Linked DNA regions of Mus musculus. The protein of the gene in region 2 interacts with the protein of the main gene of each other region in a pairwise test. Links are inferred from orthologs where the notes say so. Each region holds a gene or a part of one and is shown on either strand. Other genes may lie near its edges.

Evidence for each region.
Region 1: the proteins of Pdik1l (region 2) and A430005L14Rik interact in binary tests that used the Homo sapiens proteins (3 or more experiments, as listed by UniProt). The two-hybrid records come from large-scale screens. The link is inferred for Mus musculus from reciprocal best matches to the Homo sapiens genes PDIK1L and C1orf174.

What each region holds. Positions count from the first base shown.
Region 1 is NC_000070.6:153,956,075-153,968,383, reverse strand, and holds A430005L14Rik (UPF0688 protein C1orf174 homolog), read right to left. Parts: upstream 11,148-12,309; 5' UTR 11,077-11,147; coding exon 11,062-11,076; intron 8,636-11,061; coding exon 8,522-8,635; intron 7,854-8,521; coding exon 7,392-7,853; intron 6,895-7,391; coding exon 6,793-6,894; 3' UTR 6,459-6,792; downstream 1-6,458. Other genes in the region: Dffb (DNA fragmentation factor subunit beta), read left to right, coding at 2,771-3,014.
Region 2 is NC_000070.6:134,273,119-134,284,965, forward strand, and holds the end of Pdik1l (serine/threonine-protein kinase PDIK1L), read right to left. Parts: intron 11,430-11,847; 5' UTR 11,413-11,429; coding exon 11,128-11,412; intron 5,999-11,127; coding exon 5,258-5,998; 3' UTR 1,884-5,257; downstream 1-1,883.

The DNA.
Region 1 (12,309 bases), about 20 Mb from region 2:
AGACATCCCTGGCTCTGACCTCCAGTCTCTTTGGGGGGAGTTAATGTCCGTGGTCCCCCTCGGAGTACTTCCAGCCTTTTCTGGGTGTTCAGTACACTGTAAGTCCCTTCCTGTCCTCACCACCACTTGGTGTCACTGTGCCTCTGTATTCTCCTGCCTGAGGTAGGTACCCACTTGGCTGCTTTTGTTTGATTCCTGGTCCTGGGGAGGCCCAGGCCTCTGTAGCTCTCCACCAGCACAGCTCATTCTCCCCAGCACAGCTCTCTCTCCCCAGCACAGCTCTCTCTCCCCAGCACAGCTCTCTCTCCCCAGCACAGCTCTCTCTCCCCAGCACAGCTCTCTCTCCCCAGCACAGCTCTCTCTCCCCAGCACAGCTCTCTCTCCCCAGCACAGCTCTCTCTCCCCAGCACAGCTCTCAGGCTGCTTGCTTTCTCTGTTCTTTACTTTTGTCCTGGGCACTAGTTCCCTCCTGACTGTCTGTGTGACAGATGTTGTTGCTGTATTTTTGGCACATTTTTGATATCTTGTATCATAACCAGATGGGGTGGCTGTGGTAAGCCCTAGAAGGCCAGGCCCCAGTGTGCACAGATCCTGCAATTCCTCCTGCAGATGCAGGGGCATCTGCTTGCCCCTGTTGTCTGCAGCTGCCTCTGCCCTGCCCTGCGCTTAGCTGCAGGGGTTGTCTGCTTTTATTTTCACTTCTAGTTTCTGCTCCTTTGGGCTTTCTCTCTGTTTCCTAGATTTGCCTCTTGTGTTTTCACGTCTGCTCAAGGCAACATGTTGTCCAGCTGTTCTGAGGTTGCTATTTTGAGATTAAGGTGGCTGCCTTTTCTGGTGTGTCTTTGGCCTGTCTGTCTGTCTGTCATTTTATGCTGCTCTGCTCATCCTTTCTGGGCTCTGGTACCTGTAAGAGGCTGGGACTCTGCATGTCCACCCTGCTTTCTGTCTCACCTTCCCTGGGCTAGGTTTTTGTTACCTTCACAGCAGGCGTCTCTTGTTAGCACATTAGTAGCAACAGCACACCACCTTTTGTCTTGTCTAACTGAGACTCTCCTACTCTGGTCCCTTGTTCCAGTTGTCTACACATAGTGGCTGTTTAGCATCTATTCAGTATTTCATTGCGTGAATAAGTGGGTTTGAATTAATCTCATTAGCCATTTGCTGTACCTCCTGTGTGCCTGGTCTCACTGTATGTCCTGAGCCCGCCTGTCACCCCTCTCTTCCAGGGCTCTTTTCTCAGCATTGTCCCACCTGACCTTGAGCTTACACGGTGGTCATATCATCATGGTCAGTACCTACTTACATCTCCCACTCCTCTGCTCACTGCCTCCTGCCTCTCCCTGGTCTGCTCTGAGTTGCTAATGATTGGTCCTAGCGCTTCGGTAAGGAGGGCCTGAGGGTGAACTCTCTCTTGCCACTTCTACCCTGAGTACTGGAGAGGGGCTGTCTCACACTGAGTGTGGTGTCACTGGCATCTAGGTGTCCTGTGCACTCCGTGAGGGAGACTCATCACTGTTTCCTGGCATCTGCTGTGGACCTGCTGTCAGTCAGCATTCTGCCTCTGGTGGAGATTGGCTTGAGTCCCTTAACTGAGAGCAGTGTACAGTACAGACAAACCTTTCCTTTTGGCTCTGCCGTGGCTTGTCTTCCATGCTGGAGAGTTCTGATTCTCCTCTGCAGTGTCCTGGATTCCCGTGGGCATTCTGGGACCTTCTTGCCACCCACTGTCTTTATGCTGGCTCTGCTTGCACACTCTGGCTCAGTGCTGCTGTTTTGGGGTAACTTCCTGCTGTGGATTCAATTGTGGTTCCTCCCACCCCCCACACACATTGTAACTGTCACCTAGTGAGACCGTATCTGGAGATGGGTCCTTTGAGAGACAGCTAAGGTGAAGTGAGGTCATAGCAAGCAGAAAAATCCAGAGCTGTTAAACATGGAGTTAAACACGGGGGAGGTGGTTTGCCCTCCACTCATCTGTTCTTGCGACTGTGTTTGGACCTGAAGTTCTCTCTCGTGACCAGTCTTCTCTTCTGGCTGTCAGTGTCTCTGGGGCACAGAGTGGATCTGTCACCCCTCTCTTCCAGGGCTCTTTTCTCAGCATTGTCCCACCTGTGGATTGCCCCAGTTTCAGTGGCTCTGAAGCAACATGACATTGTCTTTGCTTGCCACTTCTGTCACATTGGCCATACCTACTTGGCTCATGTGCCTGTGGGAGACACAGGCCTGGGGTCTATGGGCAGCTGTGTGACATGGGTACAGGAACAAGCAGGAGTCAGCAGGGACTGACAAGTGCTCGCTCACACATGAGGCTTGGCTCCGTTGAATGGCATGCGAGGGACCCCTCTCAGCTTTCCCCACACTCCTTTCAGTATGGTAAGCTGCGCCCACTACTCAGGTTTGCAAAGTAAGACAAGCAGCATTGCTTGCGCTGGAGTCTGTACACCGTGGCCACCCATGGCCCATGTCAGGGATGGGCCAGTGTCAGCAGCCCACGGAACACGGTGCTGGACTCCTCTGGTGACTCATCCCTAAGTCCTGTCATTTTCTCAGTTGAGGTGCCCTCTTCCTAGATGACCCTAGCTTGTCATATTGACAAAAACAAAAAAAAAAACCAAAAAAACAAAAGAACAGTCGGGACTGCAGGAGGTTGCCTGCCGTGGTAGACACTGCATCCACAGACAGCGAGTGTCTGTGGCTCACGGGAGCGTGCACAGCAGCCCGTAGTGTGTGGCACTCACAGTAGAATGGTTGTCTCCCCCTGACTTGGTAGAATAGAGAAGAAGCGCACCGTGGTACCCACGCTGGCTGAAGCCATCCAGGATGGGAGGGAGGTGAACTGGGAGTACTTCTACAGCCTGCTCTTCACTGCCGAGAACCTGAAGCTGGTGCACATCGCCTGCCACAAGAAGACCACACACAAGCTGGAGTGCGACCGCAGTAGGATCTATCGGCCTCAGACAGGATCCAGGAGGAAGCAGCCTGCTCGGAAGAAGCGCCCTGCTCGGAAGCGCTAGTGACACAGCCCAGTGTGCAGAGGACGGTCAGTGCCGGTGCTCATCGTGTTCCTGTGGCAGGGTCTTCACGCTCACCGCCCCAGGGCTGAACTTGGCCACTGTGATGTGTGTGGGGTGCTAGTTTGTGCTGAGCTTTTATGGCTTCTATTTCTACTGCAAATGGCAGCTCTGACTATACGCCTCTGAAAGAAACGGTGCTTCTGGGATAAATGTTTGCATTTTATAACGAACATGCAGGACATCCTCTGCTGCATTGTTTAAAATGGCAGAAGGTGGGAAGCCATCCAGATGTCTCCTGGTGTGAACAGCCAACTGTGGCATTATTTTGAGCCATGTGAAACTGATGTTTTTAATGGGTTAAATAATGGCTGTCATGAATTTCATGACTCAACACTGATATATGTATGTACGCACGATTGGAGCAGGTTTAAACTTTCATGTGGAGAAATAGGGAACTGTTAAAGGCATAGATGGCTTTATCTGTGCAGGGAATGACCTTGAACTCATGATCTTCCTGCCTCATCCCTAGAGCTGGGACCACAGGTGTGCACCACCACACCTGGCATTTGGTTTTGTAAATGTGTGTCAGCTTGTGCATGGTCTGAGGAAATGACACTCTGTAACCCTGGGGGATTCAGCAGGGCTGAGATTGATCACCAAGTACAATCTCCTACATCATGTATTTTATAATACTTCATTCTGCTTTTTCTCTGAGACCGGGTCTCACTATGTAGCTCTGGCTGGACTGGAGTTCACTATATAGACCAGCCAACCTCTGCCTCCCGAGTGCTGGGATTAAAGGTGTGTGCCACCACGCCCAACCTGAGTTTATTTTTGAAATGGGCATTTTATATATTTTGTAATGTTTGGATTTTTATATTTGCCATGTAATCAGAAAAACAATAAAGTGTTTCTAAAATAGACATGTCAAAATTTTTTGAACATATTGAGGAAGATGGGGCTAAGGGTGAGATACTGGCAGGCAGAAATTGAACATTTATCTAGGTGAGTTCATCTTCACAGAGGTGGCAGGGCAGTGCCCGAGGCAGCCAGCCAGGTGGGGCTCTCTGAGGACCCAGCTGCTTGTCTTAGTCATGGATGCACACTGTTCACAATGTGTCTTATTCTGCTTTTCTGTCCTTCTCAAACACCCCAGGACGTGCACAATCACTGCCCCCTACAGAATTGTTGCCAGGACTGGGCTTTCTGAAGTTTGATGTGTGTGTCTGTGTGTGCGTGTGTGTGTGTCTGAGTGTATGCTAGTGCACCTCGTGAATGCAGGTGCCAGGTCGGTACGATCGGGTACCTTGGAACTAGAACTGCAGGGGGCTGTGAGCCATTATGTTGGAGTTGGAACCCAGTCTGGGTCCTCTGTGGAGCAGCAAGTAGAAGCTGAGCCTTCTCTTCAACCTCAGGTTTGCCATTTGTGGCCTCTGTCAGCCATGCCCCTGCCGGTGTGCTGGTGTGCTCTGCACCCCTTTTGACCGGAGGTTCTGTCTCTCCAGTGGGATGCAGAACACTCATTGCAGCTGGAATGAAAAATGAGCCTTGAGTGAAAGGCAGAAGGTTGTCCTAGGTGGGACATGTTTTCCTGCTTCTGGGCCCTCAACTGGTTGCTGATGAGAAGTATCGCAGATAGGAGCTGTCATCCAAACCCCTCCTGACTCCCAGGATAATGTAGGCAGTGAGCCCCAGAAAAAGTGAACCAAAACATATGTAGTGACTCAGATGAGCTGTCTGCCCCATGACTTTGTCACACAGTGAGAGATGGCAGAAAAGCCTGGGACTCATGAGAGCATAGCAGGTATCAACTGCACAAGCTGAAGGGCAGCGAGCAAAAGGTTTAGAAGCCAGAGTGCTGTGAGCTGCTGCCAGCTACTTGGGATGAGGAGTGGGCTTTCATTCCTGAGCGAGGCAGGGCCACCAAAGGCATCTAGGAATGCTTCTGGCTTAAGCTGAGTCCAGAGAAGGAACTGTTCCCAGGAGGCTCTCAAGAGCTTGTCCCCTGTGCCATGGGGAACTCTGTCTGCCCCAGGCCTGGGCCCATTTGATCTTTGGGAAGACTGGAGTGGGAACAACAGGTCTTCAGCAAGGTACCAGGTGACTGACCTTCAAAACTATCCAGGGCCTGACTGGGCTGTCTCCCATTGTCTGGGGAACCTGGAAACCAGACTTGTTTCCTCTGGACCCTGCGCTGAGGCCCCCACTCCCACCTCCCCCATCCGCTACTGTCTGTTGGTGGCCTGCTATGTTCACGGCTCTCTGCATCTTGGTGCTTGTCTCACAGGTGCCCACGACTGGACCCACCTGCAGGTGCTCAACTGCAGAGGCACGGGGACAACCTGTGGAGGGCGATTCTTTCTACCATGTGGGGTCTAGGCGTTGAACTTGTATCAAGCTTGGCAGCAAGCGCCCTGACATGCTAAGCCAGCTTGGTGGACTTGCTTTGGTTTTTTTCTGTTCTTGTGTTGTTTGCTGCTGTGGACTGTAAGCACACACTGGAACCTCTCCCAGTATCCTTTGGGCCCGATCCCACATCTACCCACCACCGTCTGGACTTTCAGAGGATGCCTGTGTACTTGTAACTCTCCCTTCATGACAGGCCAGGGACTCGGGTCTGTGACTGCCTCCATCTCAACAGACCCTCCCAAATCCTCAAAGGGTTCTGGTAGCTTCCTTGGGTGGGCAACTGCTGAAACGGAGCTGACTGCATTCACATCATAAGACCAGTTAAGATGGCAACAGTGCTACTGCTGAGGCCTGCTGCAGGCATCTTCCCACACTGTGCCCATCAGCAGAGTGGGCTGTAAGCAAGGAAATGCGTACCCCAGGAAGGAAGCAAGGTGGCCACGGCACATCTGTCTCCTTGGTAGGTATACCGGGATCAAGGGTGTGCTGACCTTCAAGTCCTATGGCAACCACACAGCTGTCTCTTTCCCAGGGGCTGGCATCTAAGGCCATGCAGTGCTGCCCACGGCTATTGAACAATGACTGCAAGCAACAGCTTTAAATAGTGGTTCATCAGCCAATAGGTCACAGGTGACCTGAGCAGGTGAAGATCCTAATGAGAAAGGATCTCAGTGGAAGCTGAGGTGACTGTGTGTGTGTGTGTGTGTGTGTGTGTGCGCGCGCCCATGTGTGGGTGTGCGATCTGATGGGGGTGGGGTGGGCAGGCCTGTCTGAACAGGAGCAGAACTGTAAACTCCTCATAGGCTTGGACCACTTGTTGCTCTTGCTTAGGAGCCAAGTTCAATTCCCAGTACCCTTGTGGGTAGCCTCTATCCCAGTGGAGGGGCTGTCACCCCAACTCCAGTCAAGCCCTGTACCAAGGGCCTTGCCTTTCCTGCTTGCTAATGGGCCTCAAGAGTGCTCCTAGCCCAGGACACAGTTCACTTCCTCCCTTGATTCACAAATATTTGAAATGACACTTTTGTGAACACAGTATTTCTTTAAAAGTATTTTCAAAATATATTTTATTTCTTTCTCATATATACTTTGCAAAAACTACCAGGTCAAATGGTTAGCGCCACTCAGAAACAGGAGTCCTTCCAGCAGAATTCATCCCCGGTGATCAGTCTGGCATGGAAAGTAAGCCTGTTACCACAGCCAAAGCTCTCAGGAGTTTTCCTTGTTTTCCACTGCCCAGCCCCCTGTGCCAGCATGGTGCGCCTGGGCGTCTGTGCCAGCCAGTGACACTGATGTCCACCTTGTTCTCAGAGCGTGTTCTCTGAAAGATGCCATACAGAATCTTGACACCGGCTGCAAGGCGCCCGCAGCTCTACCCCTCAGCGTCATCCTCGTCATCTTTGGCTCTGAAGTGCATTTTTCTGAATTCTCTTCTGCTCATGGAAGGATAAGATGAAGAGGCTGGTGGCAGATCCTTAGAGGGGAAGAAAGCATGACTTCAGTCTTAAGTGAGATTGCCAGGGCATCCACATTCATACTTGGCCAGTCCGCTCCGGCTCTGCAAAGCAGGCCTGTTACAGACCCAGGAAATCTGTCTAGGCACAGGTCCCTTGGTAAGAAAGATGCTATACTCCAAACAAGAGATGACAACAGACATGGTCACATGTTCATGAAATCATAGATCTGAATTCCTAACCTTGTGTGAGGTCCAAGACACAGAGGGGGGGCTGAAGCCAGGGACGCTACCTTCTCAGCCTTTCCATCTGAGCTGCTTCCCAGCTTGTGAGCCTGTGTGTGTGTGTATGTGTGTATGTGGGTTACACACCATAGTTCATTTTTTCCCCTTGCATTAACATGATCAATTATGTTCACCTTGGTTTCGTGTACCATGGGTACACAATAGAGTGGGAGCAGGGAGCTGCAGTCTGGTGCCCAGGCACTGCAGGAGAGGCAGGAGGAGGCAACACTCACCTGCATAAGCTCGACATTCCCGAAGAAGCGACTCACAGGCATGGGCTGGTTGCTGTCATCATCTAGAAAGATGCTGCTGTCCATCTGAAGCACGGATGCCCGCACCTCCTCTGTCCTGGGCACAGGCTCTGCCTGTCCGGCAGAGCTGTCATCGGGCTCCTGGGCTGCAGCGGCACTGCTGGGTTCTGTGGACAGGCCATTCTCAGCCTTTACTGAGGGTTCCTCACTCGCAGGCGTGGAGCAGCCCTGAGGCGGCTCTCTGCTCTCTGGTACAGAGACAGCAGCCTCAGCACTGTCCTCCGCAAACTTATTTTCACAAGGAGCCACGGGGGCCACTTTTGGCAAAGAAGAAATGTCACTCTTAGGGTCAAGTTTTTGTAATTCTGCCTTCACAAGGTGACCTTTGTCATACTTGAACTTTTTGGAAGTTCGTCTGTCCGTAGCTTTGTGTGATGAGGAAGCCTGCCAAGAAAGAAAAATGTAAGAGAAAATCAGACCCATTAGCAGAGGCACAGGGCTCACAGTCCCAGAGGCTCCCATTCCTCCGCCAGAGACACCCGTGCCTAAGCCACTGGTCCCAGTCTGTTCTGCTGCTAAGGGGCAGAGCAGATCAGAGGCCAAGGAGGACTCCAGAGCACCGCTCCAGCAAGCTGCTTTCCCAGGCCTTGCTTTCCTAAAGTGCATGGTTGCTTACTTTAAAATCATCATAGGAACAAGCAAGAAAGCTTAGAGCATGAAGGTGCCTGCCGCCAAACTCATAAGCACCAACATAGGGATGAGGTTCCCCGACTAGGCAGCTGCAGTGGGACGTGCAGCAGACCATGAGTCCGTGCCTTGTGCCTGACTATTCCCTCTGCTTCAGGAGTGAAGCGGGTAAAAGACTCACACAGCTGGGCAAAGCCGTGCCTTAGTGCCTGGGTCACTAGCACACTTACACACACACACACGTATGGTGCACAAAGGTCAGAAGATCAGCTGTATGGCAAAGCACACGCCTCTGTGACAACAGTGACAGCACTGCCACAGCCTCTGGAACGTCTCCCAAGCTATACATAGCAGCAGCTTCTATTTCATACAACACATCTTAGAGTGACAACTTTAGCCTTGGTGTTCTTGGTAATGAGGCTCACCAGACATGTTGTTTTAGCAGATGTGGAGCTGGTAACGTCCCTGGCAGAGGCCAAGCTGGCTGAAGAGTAACTCCGGGCCCGAAGGCGTGCTGAGGACCGCACTCCACCTGTAAGCTAGACAAGAGTAAAGCTCAGAGAGCATGCTTATGGCGGAATGCCAGCCCAGAGCTGTTGTGGGTCCTCCACTTGGTGCCTGAGCTACCCATGGTCCTTCACCTACAAGCAAAGACGGCTATGCCCCAAGCTGGTTTGACCCAACTGTCCACTTAGGCACAGGGTTGAGCATCAGACGACTCAGTGGAAAAGGGAGCTGGTCACAAGGACTGAAAGGGTGTGCTCAGCTGCTAGGACCCAAACAGTGCAAGGAAAGAACTGTAAGCTGTCCTCTGACCTCCATGTGTGCTGTGGTACGTATGTTTCCAAGACCCAGCAGAACTGAGTGGACACACAAACTCATACCAATGTGTTCCAAATAAGGGTACACATTCTTTCTTGGAAGGCTCTCAAACTCTGTTTTGTTTTGGTTTTTTGGGACAGGGTTTCTCTGTATAGCCCTGGCACTCACTCTGTAGACCAGGCTGGCCTCAAATTCAGAAATCTTCCTGTCTCCGCCTCCCAAGTGCTGGGATTAAAGGCATGTGCCACCACTGCCTGACGGCTCTCAAATTATCTGGTGTCAAAGCCCATGACAATAGTAACACAAACACAAACACCAGCTCCTGCACTCATATCTCTACCCTACCCTAGTCCCAGGTCTTACATGATGATGATGTTGTTGCTGTTCTGGGATAACCTACTATGTGCTAGGCAGACTCTACTGCTGTGCTAAGGGCCTCGCCCACCTTTATTTACGTTTTATTTTTAGTATGGGGTCTTATGTGTCCCAGGCTGGCCTCTTATCTTGCTGTGAAGCTAATGAGAACCTTGCCCTCCTGAAACTGCCCGTGTTTCCCAAGTGCTGGGATTACAAATGTGAGCTTCACACCTGGCTTACGCTGCTCTGCTCGGGAGTTTCATGCACTCCCAGCCCCACCTCTGCCTGCCTGCCTGTCTTTTTCTTTTTTGTCAATTTCATTAAGTTACTCTGCTAGGTCTTGAATATAAAATACATCTGTCTTAGCCTCCCGAGTGCTGGGGTCACAGCCTGTTGCCATCACACACAACTGTGTCACATATCTTATTGCCCCAGCTGACCTAGAACTTCCTAGGTAGCCTAGGCTGGCCTTAACTCACACACCAGCACACATACATGTAAGGGACAACCAGAAAGTAGAAAAAGCAGAAAAAAGTATTTGAAGACAGAATGGTTGAAAGCCTCCTGTTCGTTGAAAACAATAACCTGTGACTGGGAAGTTTGTGACACAGGAGGGAGAGGATAATAAACACATGGCCAGGCCACCTCCCGGGGCAGTTCTCATCCTGGAGGTACCAGTAAAAAACAACTGCTTATTCTGCAGAAACAGTATGTGAACCACGGTGAGATCACTACCTGCACGAAACAAAATGCCAGCTAAGAAAATCCATACCCAGAAAACCTGTCCTCTAAGATGAAGGTGAGAATAAAGGAATTTCCAGATGCAAATGGGTGTGTGTGTGGAGGGGGGAGGGGGTGTTGCTTTAGAACCACCGGGAGTTCTAGCTGAAGCTAAGGACCCAATCAGTAATCCAGGTACAAAGGGCACCCTCGACCCCCAAGGAAAGTCCCTAACATAAAATTATCTTAAACATACTTCTCTGAACAGGCAAAAGAGGCACGTGCTAGCAACAGGCAGGAACAAACAAAGGGGGAGGGTCCGAGGGGCCCTTGCTGGCCTGAGGAAGTGGCTGCAAAGGGTAAAGTAAGGATTGCAAGGCTGCACTGTCAACAGACAGCTAACGGAAAGTGGGAGAGAACCTCACAAGAGTTAGACCCTTCTGTGTCTCACTGGAACCGAGGCGCGCAAAGAAGTAAAAAACACAGCGGGGAACTATTAAACCTTAATAAAGTCTCCTTATGCAAGGGAGGGGCAGCAACCATGACCACTGACACGGGGAACAGTTATTGTCAGCCTCGCTACACACAAACGTCTGCGCAACGCAAGAGGCAGGGACGTCAGCCTGGACTTTGGCTAGCGGTGCAGGGCAGACACACTTCAGGCTAAGGGACTCACTGTCCCTGCCATGCTCGTTCGGCCAGAGACCCTTTGCAGCCGGGGTTTAGGTCCCAGTCACCCTAGCTCCCGTCCCACTGCCCGCCCTCAGCCCAGGTTACACACGACACAGGGGCTTGGCTGAGCTCGCTCGGCTGCAGCACGCCCATCTGTGGGCAGTGCGAGAGGCCAGGAAGCCCGGGCAGTAGCCCGCACGGCCGAGGGCAAAGCTCGGGTCCCGGTGGCCCTCACCCCGGGGAGCGAGCCTGGAGCCCCGCGCCTGGGGCGGGTGGAGGTGCCTGGAGTGCGGGTTCCCCTCCCAGGGGCGGGGCTCGAGGCGCCCGCCCCCCGCCGGCTCCCCTGGGAGAGTGCGGCTCGGCGGCGCGCACCCCGCCTGCGGGGGCCCCTCACCTTCCTGCTCCTCATGAGTGAGCGCCCCGGCCTAACGCTCCTCCGCCAAGTCTCAATCGCGCGGCTCTGAGCGCGCGCGCGGCGTCTGATGTCATCGCCACGTCACCAATCAGGGGCCGGCGTCTCCAGGTCACGTGCTCTCCGCGTGCAGAGCGGGCAGCGCGCGCCTCCCCGACGGACGGCGAGCCGCGGGCGGAGCGCCGGAAGCTGGGCAAGGTTCCCGCCACGCTGGGAAAGGGACGTCTCCTTCGCGCGGAGGCCCGCCCGTTTTGGCCGCCATGTTTGGGAAGGGCACATCCCTGGGACCCCCGTCGCCGCCATGTTTGAGAAGGGCGGCTGCCTTGCTGCAGGCCTGTGCTCTCGGGTCTCAGGCCACCTTCAGCTCGGGTTCCCCTTCACCCCGAGGGAGGCGTTAGACCGGCCTAGCTCTGCCATCTGCCGGCACCTCACAGTCCACGTGTGAACTCTATGGTGGGAAGAGAGAGGAGACTCTTGCTACGTATCCTCTGACAATTACTGACACTCCCGAGTTACTCCCCATCTCAATAAATATAATAACAAATTGTTAGCATTCTGTCTAAACTCCACCCACAATATGCTCCTCCCCACAGTTAACTGGCCTGACCCACTTTTATAGGGGCTGCTTGTCCCCTCCTCCCTCTCTTAGTCTTGCTTCCCTCTTGCTTCTCTTCCTTGCTCTTGCTCTCCCCTTCCCCATTCCCTTCCCTTTCCACTCTCTCCAAGTGCTCATAGCCATGGCTGGCCTCTACTTCTCTACTCTCTCCCTCTCTCTGCCTTTCTCTGCCTCAATTACCCTCTTAACTCCTGTCTACCTTGAATAAACTCTATTCTATACTATACCATCGTGTGGCTGCTCCCTCAGGAGGAAGGGATGCCTCAGCATGGGCCCGCTGAGACATTCCCTTCCTCTAAACCTCACCACACCCCTATAGGACATATTCTTTCTGTCTTTATCTTTTTATAAACACATCAATAATAATGATGATAAATATTATAATTAGCTTCAAATACACATGAAACCTTTGGCCTCAGCCTCTGGTCCTGCTGGACAGCCTGGACAGGTAACCCTGGTCGCAGAACTCACAAAATGAACCAGACAGACATCACTGTTTTGACATCTTAAGGGTGAGACCAGAGAGTAAACTGCTCTAGGGTTTGGTTTCCCTTACATCCTGGAAGTCCTTGTCCTCTGCTCTGCCTGACCAGCTCTCTCCAAGCCCACTCCTC
Region 2 (11,847 bases):
ATCTTTCGCGTGCTAGACCACAACAGCTTCAGTAATACCAAATTGCTTAACTTCGGCTCAAAACAGGTTAAGCTTGAAATACCAGGTTGAACAGGAGAAGAAAATTTCAAAGCCCAGGGCTACTCCCTCCCCTCCCCTCCCCTCCTCTCCCCTCCCCTCCCCTCCCCTCCCTTCCCTCCTCTTCTTCTTTCTCTCTCTCTCTCTCTCCTTTCTCTCTCTCTCTCGTTCTTCTTTCTCTCTCTCTCCTTCTTCTTTCTCTTTCTCTCTCTCTCTCAAGCAATTCACTTCTAACCAATGGAAACTCTTTGCCTAGGTGGAAGTACCACCTTTAAAAAACGCGTTTCACCTTCTAGAGGTGTGGCCTCTGTAGGCTTTTTCAGACCGGAGTTACTTTCTACCCACAAACCGTCGTTTCGCGGAGCACTTTAGAAATCGTCTGATTGGCTGATCAAGACAGCAACATTTGAATTTAAAGGAAGGCCAAAACAAGGCCGGCTCCTTCCGCTGGAAAGATAAAGTTTTGCCGTGAGAGGACCGCCAACTGGAGGCAGAGATTAGGTGGTGTCATGGTCCTGGGGTGAGACCGACATCACCTGCTGTTTCTACCTTCAGTTCTAAACCAGGAATCAGCTCCTACTTCCAGTAAAAGATATGAAAAGAATGAACAGCATATGGTGGTGCTTTGTAAACTGCAAAAGTGTTGATAGCTGCAAATTTATCAGTAGAAATTGAATTCTAATTTTCCTCCTATCCTGAGATAGGAGTCTCTGAGTAGCCCTGGCTGTCCTGGAACTCACTCTGTAGACCAGGCTGGCCTTGAACTCAGAGATCTGCCTGCCTCTCCTCGGGCTTAAAATTGAATTTTAAAAAAGATAATCAGGTGCAAAATCTGTTTTCAGAGGCTCTAGCTGCTGTAGGAGGCAGGCCAGGGGCTTGCTTCCTGTCCCTCAGCTTTTCCACTGCTACTCAGGAGATTGTATGCTGAGGCAACCATACATTTTACAAAAGAAACTGGGCTGGCAATGGCAATTTTTCCCCCTGAGGTTTCTCCTTGATGTCTGGCCTAGAACTCAGTATGTAGAGCTGGTCAGCTCAAAATTCTCAGTTGCCTGGCCTGGCTCCCAAGTGCTGGAATCAAAGGCATGGGCCACCATGCTCAGCTAAACCCTACTTCTTTACAAGTCATTGCCTCATGTTATCAATTGAAATTGCATCCACTTAGTACATTTAATAGAAATAGGATAAATGGAAAAAAGAATCTGTGGGTTAGAGAGATGGTTCAGTGGTTAAGACCTCTTGGAGGACCTTCGGTTCAATTCTGAAGCATCTACAAGGAGGTTCACATGGAACTCCAGTTGCAGCGGAATCTGAAACCTTATCCAGCCTCCTTGGGCACTGCATGCACAGTGGGCAGACATATGTAAGTAAGACATTCACACACAGAAAATACCTATTTTAAAACAAGAGTCTTTTTGTTTTTGTTTTTTGTTTCTTGTTTTTTGTTTTTTCGAGACAGGGTTTCTCTGTGTAGCCCTGGCTGTCCTGGAACTCACTCCGTAGACCAGGCTGGCCTCGAACTCAGAAATTCGCCTGCCTCTGCCTCCCAAGTGCTGGGATTAAAGGCATGCGCCACCATGCCCTGCGAAACAAGAATCTTAAACAATACATACTTCTCTTAAAAAGCAAAAATAGCCAGATAGCATTACGGTTGCGGAGAACTTGAAATGATATACAGTCTTGTAATCCAATCACGGTCCTTGGCAACCGCTTCTAGGAGAGAATTTTTTACTCCACAAGTGTAAATACTTTTCCAGGATGTAGGTCACTTCACACTCATCACTTAGAGAACTGTACAACTCAAAGTAGCAAGAGAACTTTCAAGGTTTTTTGTTGAAATTCACTTTATTAAAAAAAAAAAAACCAAAAACCTCATGAACAATAAATTACAATACTTTCCCCCTTTATAAATTCTTCATAAAATATATTTGACAATTTTAAAAGAAAAGTTTTAAAGTTGCCTTCTTTTCTGATGTGCTGATGACATCTTTTTTTTTTTTTTTTTGACTATTTTGTCATGCTGGTGAATTATTTTGTAGCTGCTACAATAGTTTGATTGGTAACATTTTACAATTAAAAACAAAAACCCAGACCTGCAGAAAGAACTATTCTGTGCTATTTTTCTGACACTTAACACTTACTTCATCAGAATGACAAAGTATCCCTTAGCACCAAGAATCTACAGAACCCCATGTTTCTAAGTGACAACAGGTGCAAATTAATAGCCTAGGAACTAACTGTACAACCCTACAGTGACTGGACACAGCTGCCTATAAGCTTTAGTGGAAATATTTGGTCTTTTTTTTTTTCAATTAAGACAAATTTCATAAAACACTAGAAACCATGGCAACAGACTATGAGGGATAACTGTTTATTGAGTACCTATTATGGGCAAGGCACTGTGCACAATTTCTTGATTGCATTTTTTCCTTTAGCAATTATCCAAAATTCCCAAGTATCACTCGTCTTTTATGTCTTATATGCGTCTGAAGAAAGTGCATGACTAAATGCCATTTTTAAAAAATGGTTTGTCTTTATTCTTTAAATTGTGTGTGTGTGTATGTGCATGAGTGTGCATGCGCAAGTGCACATGGAAGCAAGAGGGTATTAGGTCCCTGGGAGCTGGAGTTAGGTGGCTGTGAGCCACTCAACATGGGTGCTGGGAACTGAGTTCCAGTTCTGTGCAAGAGCATTAAGTCCTCTTAATGGTAGAATCCTCTCTCCAGCCCCTACAACTGCAAATCTTAAATGGTTGTCGTATCAACTAAACTTAAGTGCTGAGCACACAGTAGGTACTTAATAAATACCCCTGACTGAACGAACAAAGACAAATCCCTGTCCTTTTGTTGATATCACAAGCTATTTCAGAAGACAAGGACTTAATGTTCTGGAAGAAATTTCTTGATCACCTCACACCCTTACCGATAATAAAGAATTCTAATTCACAGATAAAAATCTTTCAAAATAAATTATAACTGGGGCTAGACATTTAGCTCAGTGCTAACACCTTTGTGTAGCACAAGCAAGGCCCTGGGTATGATCCCAGCACCAACGAAAACAAAAGATAATTACTCATTATTTTCAAGGAGGCAGGATCAAAAGCTATGTGCTCAGGACACCACAGCTTCAAGTGCACAGGTATTTGTAGAGCCAAGAACTGTTGGCACACATCACATATCAATCTGATGAGGGCCAAGTCAATGGTAATCCATTATAATGAGACTTTTTCTAATTTCTTGTAACTCAATCCACGGGTCAGATCTGTGTCAACTTGGTGACCCACAGGGTCAATTACCATGAAGATCCAGGACATTTCTACCTCTTATTTCTGAAAGAATTCTTTTAGCTAAGTCTGCAAGTGATATTATGTGTATGTGACTTTTTCATTTGATAAGATTTTTTTTGTTAACTAAAGCCTTTCGGTTCACGTTTTTACACTTCCAGATTAATTCAGTCTAGGCGTTTTACATATTTCATTTTTTTTGTGAGGTTTATCTTTTATCACCTTCTGAACACACTAATGGATCTGTTGATTTTGTGATGGCAGGGATTGAATCCAGAGCCTTGTACATGCCAGGCAAGCGCTCTTCACTGAACCACAGCCAGACCTAATGTGACGGTATGGCGGTTCAAGCACTGAGGGGACAAGGAGAGTTGCTGATAACGGCAATATCCTGATAGTCTATTGCCTTTTGCATCTTAACGCTTAAAAAGATCCCCGTGGGGTTAGTGGTAGGCTACTTCCCTCACACCTAAGGCCCAAGGTTCTACCCCAGCACCGGAGGTGGGCAGCTAGTGCCTTATAAAGCCTCACCTGGATATAATGGTAGCTTCTAATTCATCCTAAAGACTGGTGTTCTGGTTTAAGAAAGAATCCTTTCCTTAATGTTCCTGGATTAGCAAGAACAATCTGGAGGCAACCATGCAGTTAGACTTTCCCTTCAGGAGTTGAGTCTCTTGCTTTCTGACAGATGCCAGGTGACCATATGAAAACGACAACTTTTCTACTTGAAAAGCAGTTGAGGGCATAGAATTTTATCCATTTGCATCGTCTCTCACTTTGGAAGAGAGCGACCAGTATTTGTGACAGTGATTACCAGTCCCATTACTGCATCACAAGACAAGAGAAAACAGCATCACTGTCAAAGTGACAGAGACTCCAGTGATCCAACAGGAAGCCACACCAGGGCCAGCAACTCCAGGGTGAGCTCATTTGGTTTCTTCGACTTTATGCTGAGATTTAGAAAAAGTCTTAAAACTCAAAATTAATAATCAAGTATTACAGTTGTGTAACGCAATGTTTTCAGAACAGAAGAACACGTCCTCGGGTTACAGCAGATGCTCAAGTGCCCGCATGGCCCAGTGCAGTGGTTTAATTACTCAAACAAATGCTCAGCCACCTGAAGGTAGGCACGAGCCGTGAGACTCCATGACTGATTCAACTTGGAAGAGCTACAGGCCCTGCAGAGCTCTAACGCACCCTGCGGCTTACACCTGCTTAGCTTCAGTTATCGTTCATCAGCCATTCTGACCCTCCAAAATGATGCCTTTAAAAAAGAGATGTATACTGGGAAAACAACAAAAACAACAACAAAAATACCCTTAGTATGTTTCCAGTAGCAGAAGGAGTAGGGACGAAGATGAGGGATGGTTTGTGTGGTTTTTATCACCAATTTCATCAGCAAATCTCAAAAACCCAAACCTGTATCAAATAATTTAAACAGACGTGGCATTTTCTTCATGTGGAATGCAAAATGCACACATTCACATACTGACATATACATAAATATATACATATATGTTTCCTTTACAAAGCTTCGAAGGTTGCATTACCAGCACGCAAACCTCTTCTTCCATGGAAATGCCTAATACTGACAAGGAATGTCTAAAATACTTAAAGATATTTCTAGAAAATGGGACTTTCTTCTCTGCTTGGCTCCTAAGAGAATTTTTTTCTGCCAACCTTTTACCAATGATCATTAAATAAAATTTTTTTACAGCCACATTGGTAATACACATTCAAAACATACAATAAAATGGCCTGCATGGATTAAGAAAAATGAGAGAGAAAATAAAACTACCCCACAATAAAACCTAAACCCTTAGAAAGTGGAATCTAACTTCCGTCTTCTTTTCGGCCATGTGATGTATTTCCATCGACTCTGAAGCAGCACCGTCTAAGATGCTTGCAAGCAGTAGGTCACGTCTCCCAGCTGCTGTCTTTAAATGCAATTTGGACTAATCTGAGTTCTAGTTCAAAAGCATCAGGGCGATCCTGAGGGTTTGCGGCCAGCATTTCCTTTATCAGTTGTTTCATTCGCCCATTCATAGACTTTTTCTTCACAGGGATGAGAAGTTCCATTTTGGGGTTTTCCAGAAGTGCCTCCCCAACAGGCACAATTTCAGTCCCCTGCTTTACGTAACTCCCCAAGAGCTCCTTCTTTGTCTCCGTGTCTATGAAGGTGATCCTCTCCAGCATTGCCCAGATGATAATTCCCAGAGCAAAAATGTCAGCTTTGGCGGTGTAGTGTCCTTCCCACACTTCGGGAGCCATGTAGAAGTCCGTCCCGCATGCCGTGGAAAGGAAACACTTGTTTACACTGACAGGTTCTTCTGGGTTCTGCCCAGATGCTGAGCAAACTTTACTTAGGCCGAAATCAGCCACTTTGAGTGTGGGTTCCAAGTCACTGGTGTCCATCCTGCTCTGGGAAATGAGGATGTTATCAGGCTTCAGGTCTCGGTGGATTATCTGGTTTTTGTGCAAGAAGGCCAGAGCACTGCTGAGCTGAAGCATGAAGCTGGTGTTAGTCTTTCGATTGGGTTTCCTGGACAACAGGTACTCATTCATATCTCCTCCGTCACAAAAATCCATCACAAACCACAAATAATAGGCGCTTCTGGGATCAAAGGCAATTTCTCCTTTTAATGAAGTCTCTACAAGCTGTGAAGGATGGGGAGAAGAGTAGTAGTTTAAGATGCACAGAGGTTGAAAGGGATGGAGATACAGCCCAGCAGTTCTGAATTTACTGCTCTCACAGAGGACTGCAGCTCAGGTCCTCAATAAGCATGGTGGTGGCTCACAACTGCCTGCACTATCGCCCCAGTTTCCTGGCTTCTAAAGGCACCTGCACTGACACATACCCCCTCCCCCAACATAATTAAAAATTAGTAAGTCTTTTTTATTTGTTCATGTTTTTGTTTTATTTTTTGAGACGGGGATTTAGACAGGGATAGCCCCGGCTGTCCTGGAACTTGCTCTGTAGACCAGGTTGGCTTGAACACAGAGATCCTCCTTCCTCTGACTCCCAAGAGCAGGGATTTAAGACTTGCACCACCACCACTAGCTATAAATCTTTTAAAAATATACTAAAAAGAAAGAAGGAAAACGTTAGGTCAATCTGCAGCTTGCTGCCAGGCAAAGTTTCTTTTTTTTTCCCCCCGAGACAGGGTTTCTCTGTGTAGCCCTGGCTGTCCTGGAACTCACTTTATAGACCAGGCTGGCCTCGAACTCAGAGATCTGCCTGCCTCTGCCTCCTTAGTGCTGGGATCAAAGGCGTGCGCCACCACCGCCTGGCCTTCTTTTTTTTTGTTTGTTTGTTTTTTCAGGCAAAGGTTTCTTAAACTGAATGTAGAGGTCACAAAAAATTGGCAATAGTGAAAAGTTTAGTGAATGTTTAGCTACCAAAAATGAACTCAAAACCAAACTGTATATTTACTACATTTACAAAGTTGCCTGTTCTTATAGCAACGTAATGGTTTAATTGGGGGAAAACAAAGACTTCTGATATTTTTCTACTGTCATTCATCAGCAAGCAATTAACCAAAGTAATTTACCAGTGGATTGTTATGGTATAATGCCTAATTTAGGTACCATTTTTTTTTTCTTCTTTTCTTCTGAGACAGGGTCTCAAGTAGTTCACAAAGGCCTCAAACTCATTGAATAGTTCATGGTTGGCCTCCTGCTTCCATGTCCAGTGCTGGAATAACAGGTCTGTGTGTCACTACACCTAGCTCAAGCAATCTCAAATTTAAGGCCAGCCTTAGTTATATAGTGAGATTGTCTCAGGGAGAGAGAAAGAAAAACAGAGGTTAAAAATTGCTATTTGGGGCTGGAGAGATGGTTCAGTGGTTAAGAGCACTGACTGCTCTTCCAGAGGTCCTGAGTTAAATCCCAGCAACCTCATGGTGGCTCACAACCATCTGTAATGGGATCTGATGACAACTTCTGGAGTGTCTGAAGACAGTTACAGTGTACTTACATATAATAAATAAATATTTAAAAATAAATAAATAAAATTGCTATTTGGCCGGGCAGTGGTAGCACACACCTTTAATCCCAGAACTTGGGAGGCAGAGGCAGGCGGATTTCTGAATTTGAAGCCAGCTTGGTCTACAGAGTGAAAAACCAAAAAAAAAAAGAAAACAAAAAGGAAAACTTGCTATGTGAAGGCAGGTGTGGTGGCACATACCTGTGATCCCAGCACTACAGAAACAGAGGCAAGAGGCTCACTGGAAAGTGTTAGGACAGAATTTCCAACAGTTTCTGACTCTGCCTTAAACATATGTCTACCATTTTGTACTAATATAGTTATGTGAAGCACTGTTCTCACCACTGATTTTTATAAACTACAAATCAACTGTGGAAAGTGCTAAAGATGCTAAATATTCAAGCCAAATTCTCTTTTTAAAAAACGAGTTTAATTGTGTCAGAGGATAACTCTCCTGCCACTCTATGGGACCTAAGGATAGAAGGCAGGTTGTCAGGTCTGCATGTGAGTGCCTCTGCCCACAGTGCCACCTTGTCAGTCCAAGATTTACCTCTATGTAGAAATAAACAGGGACATTCACTTCAGTAGTGTACTGTTTGCTTTCTACTTTAATAAAAGGTAAAACTATATTTATACCAAAGGATTGCTCTAAAGTGACATTATTTATGATTCAGTATCAGCATGTTTGATTTATGTTTTACACACGCAGGATTGTGCATGTTTTTCTGGTGAGAGGGCCTGAGTGGAAGGGTTGGGAAGCCCTGCTCTGCCAGTCAAGCCCTAATCTCCAGCTTTAACTGAAAACCTCAAGAATATTTTATTTCATCTGTGTTTTTATATATGCATTAAATTTTTTTTCAGGGCTGGAGAGATGGCTCAGCAGTTAAGACCACTGACTGCTCTTCCAAAGGTCCTGAGTTCAAATCCCACATGGTGGCTCACAACCATCTATAATAAGATCTGACGCCCTCTTCTGGTGTGTCTGAAGACAGCTACAGTTTACTTATTTATAATAATAAAAAATCTTTGGGCTGGAGCAAGCGGAGCTGACTGGAGCGAGTGGGGCCTAAATTTAAAAAAAAATTTTTTTTTTCCTTTTTTCAGTACTTCAAAATGCCACCTTTGTAGCTGTATTTTGGAAAGTGCCCAACTGGCTGACATTTTCTATATATGTCAATAAAGCTGAGTTTTCTAACCACCTAGCTCATCGCTTCATGAACATACTAAAATATAGAGGTATATTGTTTTTAAATTATATTTTTATGTGGTGTCTAAAAAGAAAAACAAAAGGGGAAGACTGGAGTGAAGCTGTTAAAGAATGAGCAACTGGTAAGTTTATGTTACAATCATTACACTTACTAATCACTATTACTACTTCGTGTGGATATTCTGGTAAGTTTACATTACAGTCGTTACATTTACTAATCACTATTACTACTTTGCGTGGTTATTCTGGAAAAAGCCAAGAACAGCCTCCACCTGCTTCCCCTGGCAGAGGGCAGCAATGGTGATGGCCTGCAGGAACCTCCTTGCTGTATGGTGTGCCAGTGCAGAGAGTCTGAAACACAGGTGTGCTATTCCTGACTTTAGTTTTTCTGTGTTTACCCTAAAATATAAACTTAATAAATAGCTTTGTGTAAGGCAAAATACCAGTGCTCAGACAGTGGTTTAGAAGGTGGTGTATACAATACTAGCTTGCAAGAAGAGAAATATATAGTTTTCACCCACGTATCTAGATAATGCTTGTCAGATTCTTCTTCTTTTTCAAGCCCCTAGATAGGCTCTCACTCTGTACCCAGAGTCTGTAGCCCAGCCTGGCCCTGACGTCATGGACTCCTGTCGTCTTCTGTGTCAGGATTACACTATGTGTGCAGCATGTCCAGCAGCTCACAGCTCTTCAGCCCTGAGACGTATCAGATTCCCCATGATATGTTCCTATGCCATCTATGTGTGTCATTTGTCTGACATAGACAGACTAGAGGGCGAAATTAAGCCCTAGTAACTGCTTTACATTTTCTCTCGGATGGGGTTTTTAGCTATTAGGAACTGGTTTAGTGATTCCAACTGAGAACAAGGAAAAAAACATAAAAAATGAAAATTTATGAATAAAGGCCATGCGTAGGGACTCTCTGATTATGTTACAGATTTGTTTATTGATTTTTACTGTATTGTTTTGATACAATTCTATTGATAAATATATGGTCAATTCGCTGGGTGTATGGTAGTGTACCGTTTTAATCCCAGTAGAGGCAGAAGCAGGTGGATCTCTGTAAGTGTAAGGCCAGTCTAGCCTACATACTAAGTCACAGGTTAGCCAAGTCTAAGGTGACACTCTGTCTCAAAAATAAATGAATAGATAAAGAAAAATCAGGCTCACTTAGTTTCAACACAGGTACCTATTTCCGAGTTCTTATATGCCAAACTAGCGTCAGCCTCCTCTCTGACTTGTACGAGGTCATAAAAGGCAGAAATGAACCACATATGAACAGAGAGCTACTAGAAAAGTTGGGTTATTTATTTCAAGACATTCTGACAGCAGAAAGTGTCATAAATCAAATACAGGTACCTAAGGCTTTAAAGGGTAAAATTGACTCACTAAAGAGGCAACTTGAGTACAAAAATCACTTTAGTCTGGTACTTCATATCGTAAACTAGAGAAAACCCAATTATTATGATGTCGCTCCTAGATGTGGACCTGGTACTGTGTCAAATGTGTTTGTATCTTTACTTCTCCACCTGAAGGGGTTGTGCATCTTAGTCTCTGCAGCTTAAAGGAAGGGATGGAGTTTATGTAGGACGCCCCAAACCCTAGGCTCCATCTCTAGCACTGGCGAAAAAGGAAAAAAAGACAGAAATATTTCCAATATTTTTATCATGGCAACCTAAGTACTTTTAGAAAAGTAAATACTATAAATTAGCTTCTAAATTTCTAAAATTATTTTGTTTTGTGTGTAGGGGGAACTACGAAACACTCATGGAGGTATGAGAACAACTTCTCAGGTGTTCAAGTCCTCTTTCTACCATGAGGGACCTGAGACCTGAACTTGGGTCATCAGCCCTGGCAACAACCCCTTTATCCTCTGAGCCTTTTACCAATCTAAACATCGTTGTTGTTGGGTTTTTTTTTTTTGTTACTATATTTTAATTGTTAAATTATATTTACTTTCTTTATGTATGTGTTTACAAATATGTGTGTGTGTACGTGTGTGAATGCTTACATGTGTGCATGCCACAGTGCAAGTGTGGAGGTCAGAGGACAGCAGACAGCGGACAGCTTCTGTCCTGGAGCTCAGGATTCAGCCTAGGAATGTCTAAAGTCAATATACAGGTGAGTCTGGCCTTGAACTCTCCAGCCCCCTGCCTCCACCTTCCAAGTACTATCGGCATGTAGCAATTCACTCATCTAAGGCTTATTATTTTTAGACCTGTGACTTAGGGAAGTCCAGTTACCATTGGTGTGACTATTACTGATTGTGCTATTTTTTTCCTCGTCTTCTGAGTTTATTTTCAAAATAACTGGTTTCCAGGAACTGACCTTAGATGCTGGTCTCAAACCTCCTCTAGTTCTCATCTTGTTCTATTGCTATGCAGACTGGTTAAGTACCAGGCATAGCAGGTGGCTTGCGTTACTTTGAGGTATGCGAAGCACAAGTTTAAGGCAGACACCCCCTTCCTCTACAGACCGTTACGTACACCTAGGGAACCACAGAACCCCTGCCTCTTAGGGAGCCAAAGCTCATCTGGCCCTTTGGTTTCTCTTGCTGACCACTCTTAGGTCCATTTCCTATGCAGTGACACATACCTGTAAATAAAGGGAAGAATTAGAGCCGTGGGACATCTTTTGCACCATCCCATCCTTCTGTAGGATGCACTCTTCCAAGTGAATCACATTTGGGTGTTGGCTCTTGATACTGCTTAGTGCCCAGAACTCTCGAAGAGCTAGTTCAACATTTTCAGGCGCGTGGCATCGAATTTTCTTCACGGCTACTCTCGCAGAGGTCTTTCTGATGACTGCTTCATACACAACACCGTAACTACCTCGGCCTACCTCCCGTATTAGATCGTACTTTGGCTGGCTACTCACCATCTTCAAGGTCGAGGTTTCTGGAAAAATCAACAAAGTGCTCTGCTGAAATCAGGTGGACCTATTGGCTTGTATTCTTACGCATGCTTTACCCATCTGTTTCACTTTCTGTGGTACTCAGAAAGTATTTAGCTAGGCTTTGGACCAATCTATCAATAATAATAAAGGTAATAGCACTTACCATGTATCATGAACTATTTCAAGAACTTTAATTTTTAAAGTTTTTGTTTTTGAGACAGGGTCTTGCTAAGTTTCCCTGGCTTGGAGCTTGATGTATGAATTATGCTGGCTTTAGAAGCCATGGTTACAGTACCATCATCCCTGACTCTTATGTATAAGTGCAGGCATGCCCATGCCATGGCACACCCATTAGGAGAGAACCTTGGCTCTCCTGTCACTGCTACAGCATATGCCAGGGTAGTGGCCTGTGAACTTTGG